2 linked regions of the Mus musculus genome follow. The protein of the gene in region 1 interacts with the protein of each later gene in a biochemical or structural test. Links are inferred from orthologs where the notes say so. Each region holds a gene or a part of one and is shown on either strand. Other genes may lie near its edges.

The links. The genes of interacting proteins can lie anywhere in the genome.
Region 2: the proteins of Lrrk2 (region 1) and Ywhab interact on a protein array, tested with the Homo sapiens proteins (2 studies listed by BioGRID and IntAct, with this or other methods). The link is inferred for Mus musculus from reciprocal best matches to the Homo sapiens genes LRRK2 and YWHAB.

Annotation. Positions count from the first base shown.
Region 1 is NC_000081.6:91,746,183-91,749,836, reverse strand, and holds part of Lrrk2 (leucine-rich repeat serine/threonine-protein kinase 2), read right to left. Parts: intron 2,186-3,654; coding exon 2,004-2,185; intron 177-2,003; coding exon 1-176. UniProt on the Homo sapiens protein: Serine/threonine-protein kinase which phosphorylates a broad range of proteins involved in multiple processes such as neuronal plasticity, innate immunity, autophagy, and vesicle trafficking.
Region 2 is NC_000068.7:164,012,124-164,015,722, forward strand, and holds part of Ywhab (14-3-3 protein beta/alpha), read left to right. Parts: intron 1-1,882; coding exon 1,883-2,006; intron 2,007-3,107; coding exon 3,108-3,271; intron 3,272-3,599. UniProt on the Homo sapiens protein: Adapter protein implicated in the regulation of a large spectrum of both general and specialized signaling pathways. Binds to a large number of partners, usually by recognition of a phosphoserine or phosphothreonine motif.

The sequences.
Region 1 (3,654 bases):
GGATGGACCAGTCTCGCACGTCTATGCCGACTGTGGCACCCTGCATGCCAAGTTCTGGTTTCTTCATTTTCATGAGTTGTTGCAGTAAAGTGGTCTTACCGCTCCCCGTATTTCCCACAATCATGAGCTTCATTCGGTTGTAGGGTACAGCCTTTTTCAGACGTTGTTGTAGAAACCTGGATAAAGAGAAGCCACATAGCAGCCTACCGAGGCATGTGCCAGGCCTAAGTTGTTCCACAGAGAGTGTGTAAACTCAAGCATGTGAAACTGTAACCAGAACCAACAACACACATGCCTTCTATTCTATTAGTAGTTTCACAGTAGTCAATGATATTTTTTAGCACTGACAATGATGTATGGCATGCTATATCATCACCAGTTATAATCAAAATCCCCAAATCTGTTTGCAATATCTATTAAGATGCAATGTGTACATAGATACATATACACGTGTAAATGTGGGAGGATATTTAAACAGTACAAGGAAAAGCTTAACCATTATAAAGTTTAAACTTTACAGTAGCACAGAATCAAATAAGTGTATAAATCAAAGCCCATTTTAATGAAGGTTTGAAAATGAGGCAGCCTTGGTTGTGTTATATACACATATGTACACATACATACATATGTGTACATATGTGCATATATTGTAAGTATAGTACAAAATAGATATTTATATATGGCATTGTGATACAAAGAGTGTCATTAGTCCTGTATACAAGAACACAAGGTCATTATCTGTTCATTTGAACTATATAAGCTATTAAACTATCAAATAATTTTAACATTGCTATTCTCAGTAAACTTAATGTAAAATTAGCTGAAACTAAATCAATGTGCTAGATGGCTCCAGAAAAAACTCACTTAAAATTTAAAGGTACCAGTAGTTTTAAAAATATAACAGATATAGAAAATACATTCGAAACTGTGCTAGCTCTTGCCACATTTTAATATCTTTATTTTTGAGATTATAATATTAATTATATCATTTCCTCCTTCGTCTTCCAAACCTTCCCATAAACCCTTCTTTGTTCTCTTTCTAGTCCAGGGCCTCTTTTTATTTATTTTTTTATTTATTCTTTTTTACATTTTAAAAATTATCTTTAATCTTTTTTTTTTCCACAGGCTAGAAAAAAAATTATCCCCCTCCTGGTCCACTCTCCTACAGTTGCTCATCTCATTCCTCCTCCTCCATCTCTGTCTCCAACAGGATGTTCCCACTCCCCCCTCCTCACCCTGCCAGGTCTCCCCACTCCCCGAGGCCTCAAGTCTCTCCAGGGTTAGGTGCCTCTTCTCTCACTGAGGCCAGACCAGGCAGTCCTCCACTGCATATGTGCCGGTGGCCTTGGAACAGCTCGTGTATGTTGCTTGGTTGGTGCCATAGCCTCTTTTTAAATTAGAAACCAAACTGTGTCATAAGAGAACTTTAAGGAATAATGACTAATCGGTGCCAGCCACAGGCATCTGGACAGGTCCCCTGATGAGACGATCAAAAGGAAACATTAGGAATGGAGGATACTCAGTGGATAAGTGCTTGTTTCTGTGAGGATCTGAGCTCAGGAGCCCATAACCACTCAAAAGTCAGGCTAGATATGGCAATCCCGAGCTTCAGGAGACAGAGATAGGAGATCTCCTGGGAAACCTGGCTAGATACAGGCTCAGAAAGAGACCCTGACTCAGTCAGTGAGTGAAGCAGAATCAAAGGTTATTCGTGATCAAGCGCAAGGCAGGTTGGAGATAGACACCCAACATCACCTCTAGGTGACAAGGAAGCCCCTCACCTGTACCATAAGGAATCATAAAAGCCTTTGCAGGGGCTGCATCTAAACACACCCATTAAATGGGAAGCATGCCAACATGCGTGTTAATAGTCTCTTCAGTCAAACACGGGTGTTAATAGTCTATATGTTTTTCCTTAAAGTGTTTCTGTATGGTCATCAAAAACACAGCTGGGAAAGGCAAGGCGAATTCTACAGAGAACAAACAGAATCACGTCAGCTGACCTTATGATGTCTTTGGCCTTGCATCCTACGTGCTTAAAGTCAAAATTCAGATGCAGTCCGTCCAAGGGAAGATCCCATATCTTGCTCAACTTCCCCATTTCATTTGGGAAGGACCTCAGTTCCAAGTTGTAACTGACGTCGAGAGACGTCAGATTTTCAAGGCAGCCAATTTCTGGAGGAATCTTAATAAAACAGACAAGGATAAAAACCCATTGGTGAGAGGGAAACAGTGCGCACAGCTAGGGCACAAGACAAGAGTGAACAGGAAAGGCTCTGAGATCCTACCAGCATTCTGCACAGCCTTGACATAAAGTCAAGTGTTTTGCGAAGTCTTTCCATTAGTTTGCAATAGGCTTTAAAACAAGCAAAAGGTATATAAAGAGCTTACTCCCATCTGAGCTATTTATCACTTTATTATATTTTAAATTTTATTGGAATGTGTATGCATGTGTGTGTATTCATGCATGTGTGTGTGTGTGCCCATACACACGTATGTGTGGTACTAGTAAGAGCTGATTTTCTCCTTCAACCATGTGGGACGTGGAGAGGTCACTCAGGTTGTCAGACACAGCAACTAGCACCTAGTGAACTACCTAGCTGGTCCTATTTATAACCTTAAAAAGTAAAATCTCCCTTAACAATAAGCTCCATCATATACAATACTGAAAAGTAAGTCATTTGTATTTAACAAAATCTGTTTTTTCTGTTTCTATTCTGTCTTCTCACACTGCCTATGTTATTTAGTAAACCACAAAGATACAATCATTACAAATTACGAAATACGTACACTTTAGGTTCCAACCTAACCAAAGCATTTTCATTTTCTATTCTAATTATTTTCTTCAGTAGAATGTATAGCATCTTGTGTATGCTAGGTGTGTGCTATAATCCCAAGACTAAAAAGATTTTAAGCTGACTATAGTATACCTATAATACAAAACATTTATTTGCTAAAAAAAAAAACAGAAGAAGTACAGGCACCAAAAATATCCAGTCATCCTAAATATCCAACTATCAGACCTTTAGGAGCTTTTCGCATAGACAATAGCTTGAACTTGACAAGAAAATATTTTTCTTATATGTGTAAATACAAGGAGGCTGACTCATTTAGGTGAGGGGTCATATAGATGAAGAATGAAGAGATCTAAGCACGTGGGAAAGAGGGAAAACACAGGCCAGGTGTCACCCAGGGAAGATGAGAGACTCGGAGTATGTCAGGCTCTGTGAATGGTCAGAGGTAGGAGACAGGGATGTTTTTACAGCATTATACATTCAAAACTAGATGCATACACTGTTGCAGTTTGACTAGGTCTAGCCCCTAGCCAACTCTTGTGGTTTGAATGCTGGGCCATAGAGAGTGGCACCATTAGGAGGTGTGGCCTTATTGGAGAAGGGTGTGGCTTTGTTGGGGGATGTGTATCATTGTGTAGGCAGGCTTTCAGAGCTCCTATGCTCAGACTCTGCCCAGTGTGGAAGAGAGACCCTCCTCCTGGCTTCCTGAGAAAGCCAGTCTCCTCCTGGCTCCCCAAGAAAGCCAGTCTCCTACTGGCTGCCTTTGGATCAAGATACAGAACTCTCGACTCCTCCAGCACCATGTCTGCCTGGGTCCTGCCATGTTTCCTGCAATGATGATAATGGACTAAACCTTTGA
Region 2 (3,599 bases), on another chromosome or scaffold:
ACAGCAAACAGGAACATTGCATAAACTTTCCTCCATTTTTCTTTAGAAATTGAAGTCAAATAAAGAGGCTATTTAGAAAGATGCGGCCTCCAGCGGACAGTTCTGGTTTCAGTAGTGATTCATCTCTGGAAAGGAAGGGATTTAAAGGCCTTCAGCCTTTTCTTGGCCATGCCCTCACAAAGTGTAGAAATCTGATGTTGAAGCTTAGGCATGCCTGTCAAGTGCAGTGTAGCTTTGAAAGCCAAGTCAGAGGTGGTATGGGCTTCTCCTGTGGGTTAGGTACACTGCAGTCAGGTGGTGGATCCTTCTAGCTACATTGGGGGTTGGTTGGGAGGGATACCTACCCTAAAACACCTCATGATTATATTCTTTCCCTCATATCTGGAGCCCACTAGCCCACTAGGAAATTTTATTTTCTACGTGAAAGCAGGTGAAAGGTAACTGAGGCTGCTTTAAAGAGAAAGGGACGTCTTTCCTGCAGTCTGTCTGTCTCTCTAAAGTACTTCCCTTGACGCTTCTTTTGAAAACCAGTATAAAGCTTGTCGGCTCTAAGGCCATGCTCTTCCCTCAACCCACAGGAGTTCTATCCCTGTCTGTCTACACAGTACTTACAAACAACTCCTGCCTCTCGAATACTCTGATAACGATTAAATGAAGTCCCTGATAGCTGGACTTTGCCTTGAGCCTCTCTCTTTATCAGCTTCTTGGTGTAAGATAAGTTTCATGGTTAAACATGTTGCCTCTTGGTTGTTTGGGGGTTTGTTAATGGTGCACTAATTCCTGAATGTTAGGTGCATCTGGTATTCAGATGAAGTATGGCATGCATTCAAAGGCAAGAGAGTTCCATAATCCCTGAAATGTAGACCAGCTTTTCAGAGCATCTGAAGGAATGTGAAGAAGAGCATGGTACTCACTGCCTCTTAACCAGCTTTTCAGGATGCCACATTCTAAAACAACTCTTCGAAAATAATTCTCTGTATACGAAGCTTGGACTCCTTCAGAACTACTTTTGTTGTAAGCATAAATGTTTAAAGGAATTTGTTACTAATAGTTCTAGACTGAGTGCTACTGCTTATCAAGCAATGTGTTAAGCACTAGATATAAGTTACCTTGCTGTCCTTACAACTGCCTTAGACGGTGGTCATCCTGGTCCCCTTCCCCATTGTACAGCCAAGGAATCTGAGGCTTGGGGTCCCAAGGCCATCTCTCCAGGGTCACGTGGACACAGATAGTAAGCATCAGAAGAAGGCTTTCCTCCCAGGTCAGATGAAGTTTAAGCTTAGTTCTTGGCTGGTTGGTTCCGCTGCTGCTGCTGCTTTTTCTTTGCAGAATGGAAAGGCCCCACACACTCACAGTTACAGAAGCAGCACAAGTGTCAGGGGGGTTGTTTTGTTTTTAAGAGATAGACAGAAGAGTTGCAAAGTAAAAGTCACTGCCAGGCATTGTTAGTATTAGTCCTCCAAGGCTTTGCCCATGTTTTGTGTGCATGCCCCCACACTTCAAGATTAAAATGAGGTCTTCTTGTAGTCTTTTCCATTTGGATTTGGTTAGCAGTGTAGTTCTGGGCCATCTTTTTTCCATCGCATTCCACTGTAGTGGCTACAGTGTAAGGAGCCCTGTGGTGATCTGAGGGGCCTGGAACTACAGGCCCCTGCTCATAGAACTTGGCCAGATGGGATTTAGCAGCTTGAATGAAAATTGGTTGGGTTTTTTTGGGGTGGGGGAGTGGGTTGATTTGGTTAGTTGGGTTTGGGGGAGAGTGTTTTTTGGTGTTTTTTGGTTTTAGTCTTCAGAAAAATCAGTGGTAGTAATACATATCTTAAGCTCAAATGTAATTTTAACGTCTCACAAGCAATTCAAAATTCTTAATGTCACTTTTTAGGAGCTGTTGGACAAATATCTCATTCTCAATGCCACCCAGGCAGAAAGCAAAGTGTTCTACTTAAAAATGAAAGGAGACTACTTTAGGTATCTTTCTGAAGTTGCATCCGGAGAAAATAAACAAAGTAAGTAACATTTGAAGAAACAGCCAGTGCAATAGCTGATACTTCACGGTGAAACCTGGGTTTTCTTTACTGTAGACACTAAGTTCGAAGTAATGAGACACAATATTGTCATGTATGGGGTCACGGGGTTAATAAATCTCTAATGGATAGACATGAAGGGTGTTAGAAGTTTGGTATGTAATGTGTTTGGCAGACTCTTATCTGGGAACTGATACTTCCTTTTTGTAGGTACAACTATAGAACAATAATTCCCCTTGGCTATGATTTTGTTTTACCCACCTTTACTTACTGCATCTGTAGACCGAAATCTAAATGGAAAATTCCAGAGATAAAGGAGTCTAAATTTTGCCCAAAGTAACCCTGTGTGTGCTAGTCACCTAGTCATCACCTAGTTGCCATATTGGCTACTTGATTGACTACTTGAGTATGGCACTCTTTGTGTTCAAGTGACTTGATGGTTTCTAAAGTGCAGATTGCATTACAGTACACTGTTAAAACTGTTCTGTTGGTTTCCTGTGTTAATTTATCTGAGCATGTGTGCGAGGCTTCAGTACTGTCTAGTTTCAGCATCCGCAAATGAGGGAGACCTGTTTGAGACCACCATAAGGGAGAATCTATCTTTCAGCAATTGTAGCTGTTTTATTCAGTGTTCACTGTGTGCTAAGTAATTGGGCTTAAATTATCCTCTTAGCACTTGGAATTTAGGTGAGGTTTTCCAATAAAAGGAAGCAGACCTGGCAGTTAGGCCTTTCACTTGCTCCAGGCCACATGCAAGTGGGTTGAGAATTTGAATTTGTTTATGCCAATCTTAAAGCCCATCACTTTTTTTCACTAGATTATCCACATTTGTTCTTATGAAGGGATGTGTCTGTGTTTCTTGGCTGCTTTAACAGACTTTGTTATAACCGTCCGTTTTCTTCCAAAGCATTCAGAACAGTACTTAGCATAAACACTCAGCAGAGGTTTAGGCTGAGTGTTGAAGACATGAACCTTTGTTTTGATTGCTTGTTCGCTTTAGCCTCTTTACTAAAGTGTCTTGATAATGGATCCCGTGTGTGATGTGGCCTGTGGGAGACGCTAACAGTTTCATCTTCCTTCCAGCCACGGTGTCCAACTCCCAGCAGGCTTACCAAGAAGCATTTGAAATCAGCAAGAAAGAAATGCAGCCTACACACCCGATTCGCCTCGGCCTGGCGCTGAATTTCTCAGTCTTTTACTATGAGATTCTAAACTCTCCTGAAAAGGCCTGCAGCCTGGCCAAAACGGTGAGTAAGGAAAGACCCTTTGCTGTTCCAAGAACGTCCTTGTGCGTATGAGCAGTCCTCGCTGTCTTAGACATGTAAGCGTGCTCTAGGGGGCGGGGTTTAGGAGATGGGTGCAGACCTGCCACTTGGTCCTCGCTCGGGCTGTGCTGGCTGACGGCTGCTGTGCTTTGTTTGGGTCCTATTGGAGTCATTGGTAGAAGCTCCCAGGTAGAAAGTCGGAGTTCTCATCAGGCTTGGACATTGGGCGTTGTCATCTTTGTTCTAAGATAGGACTGACTCCATGAAAGAGGGAGCCCACACTTCGTTAGTGAGATGCTTTTTTCTGGTG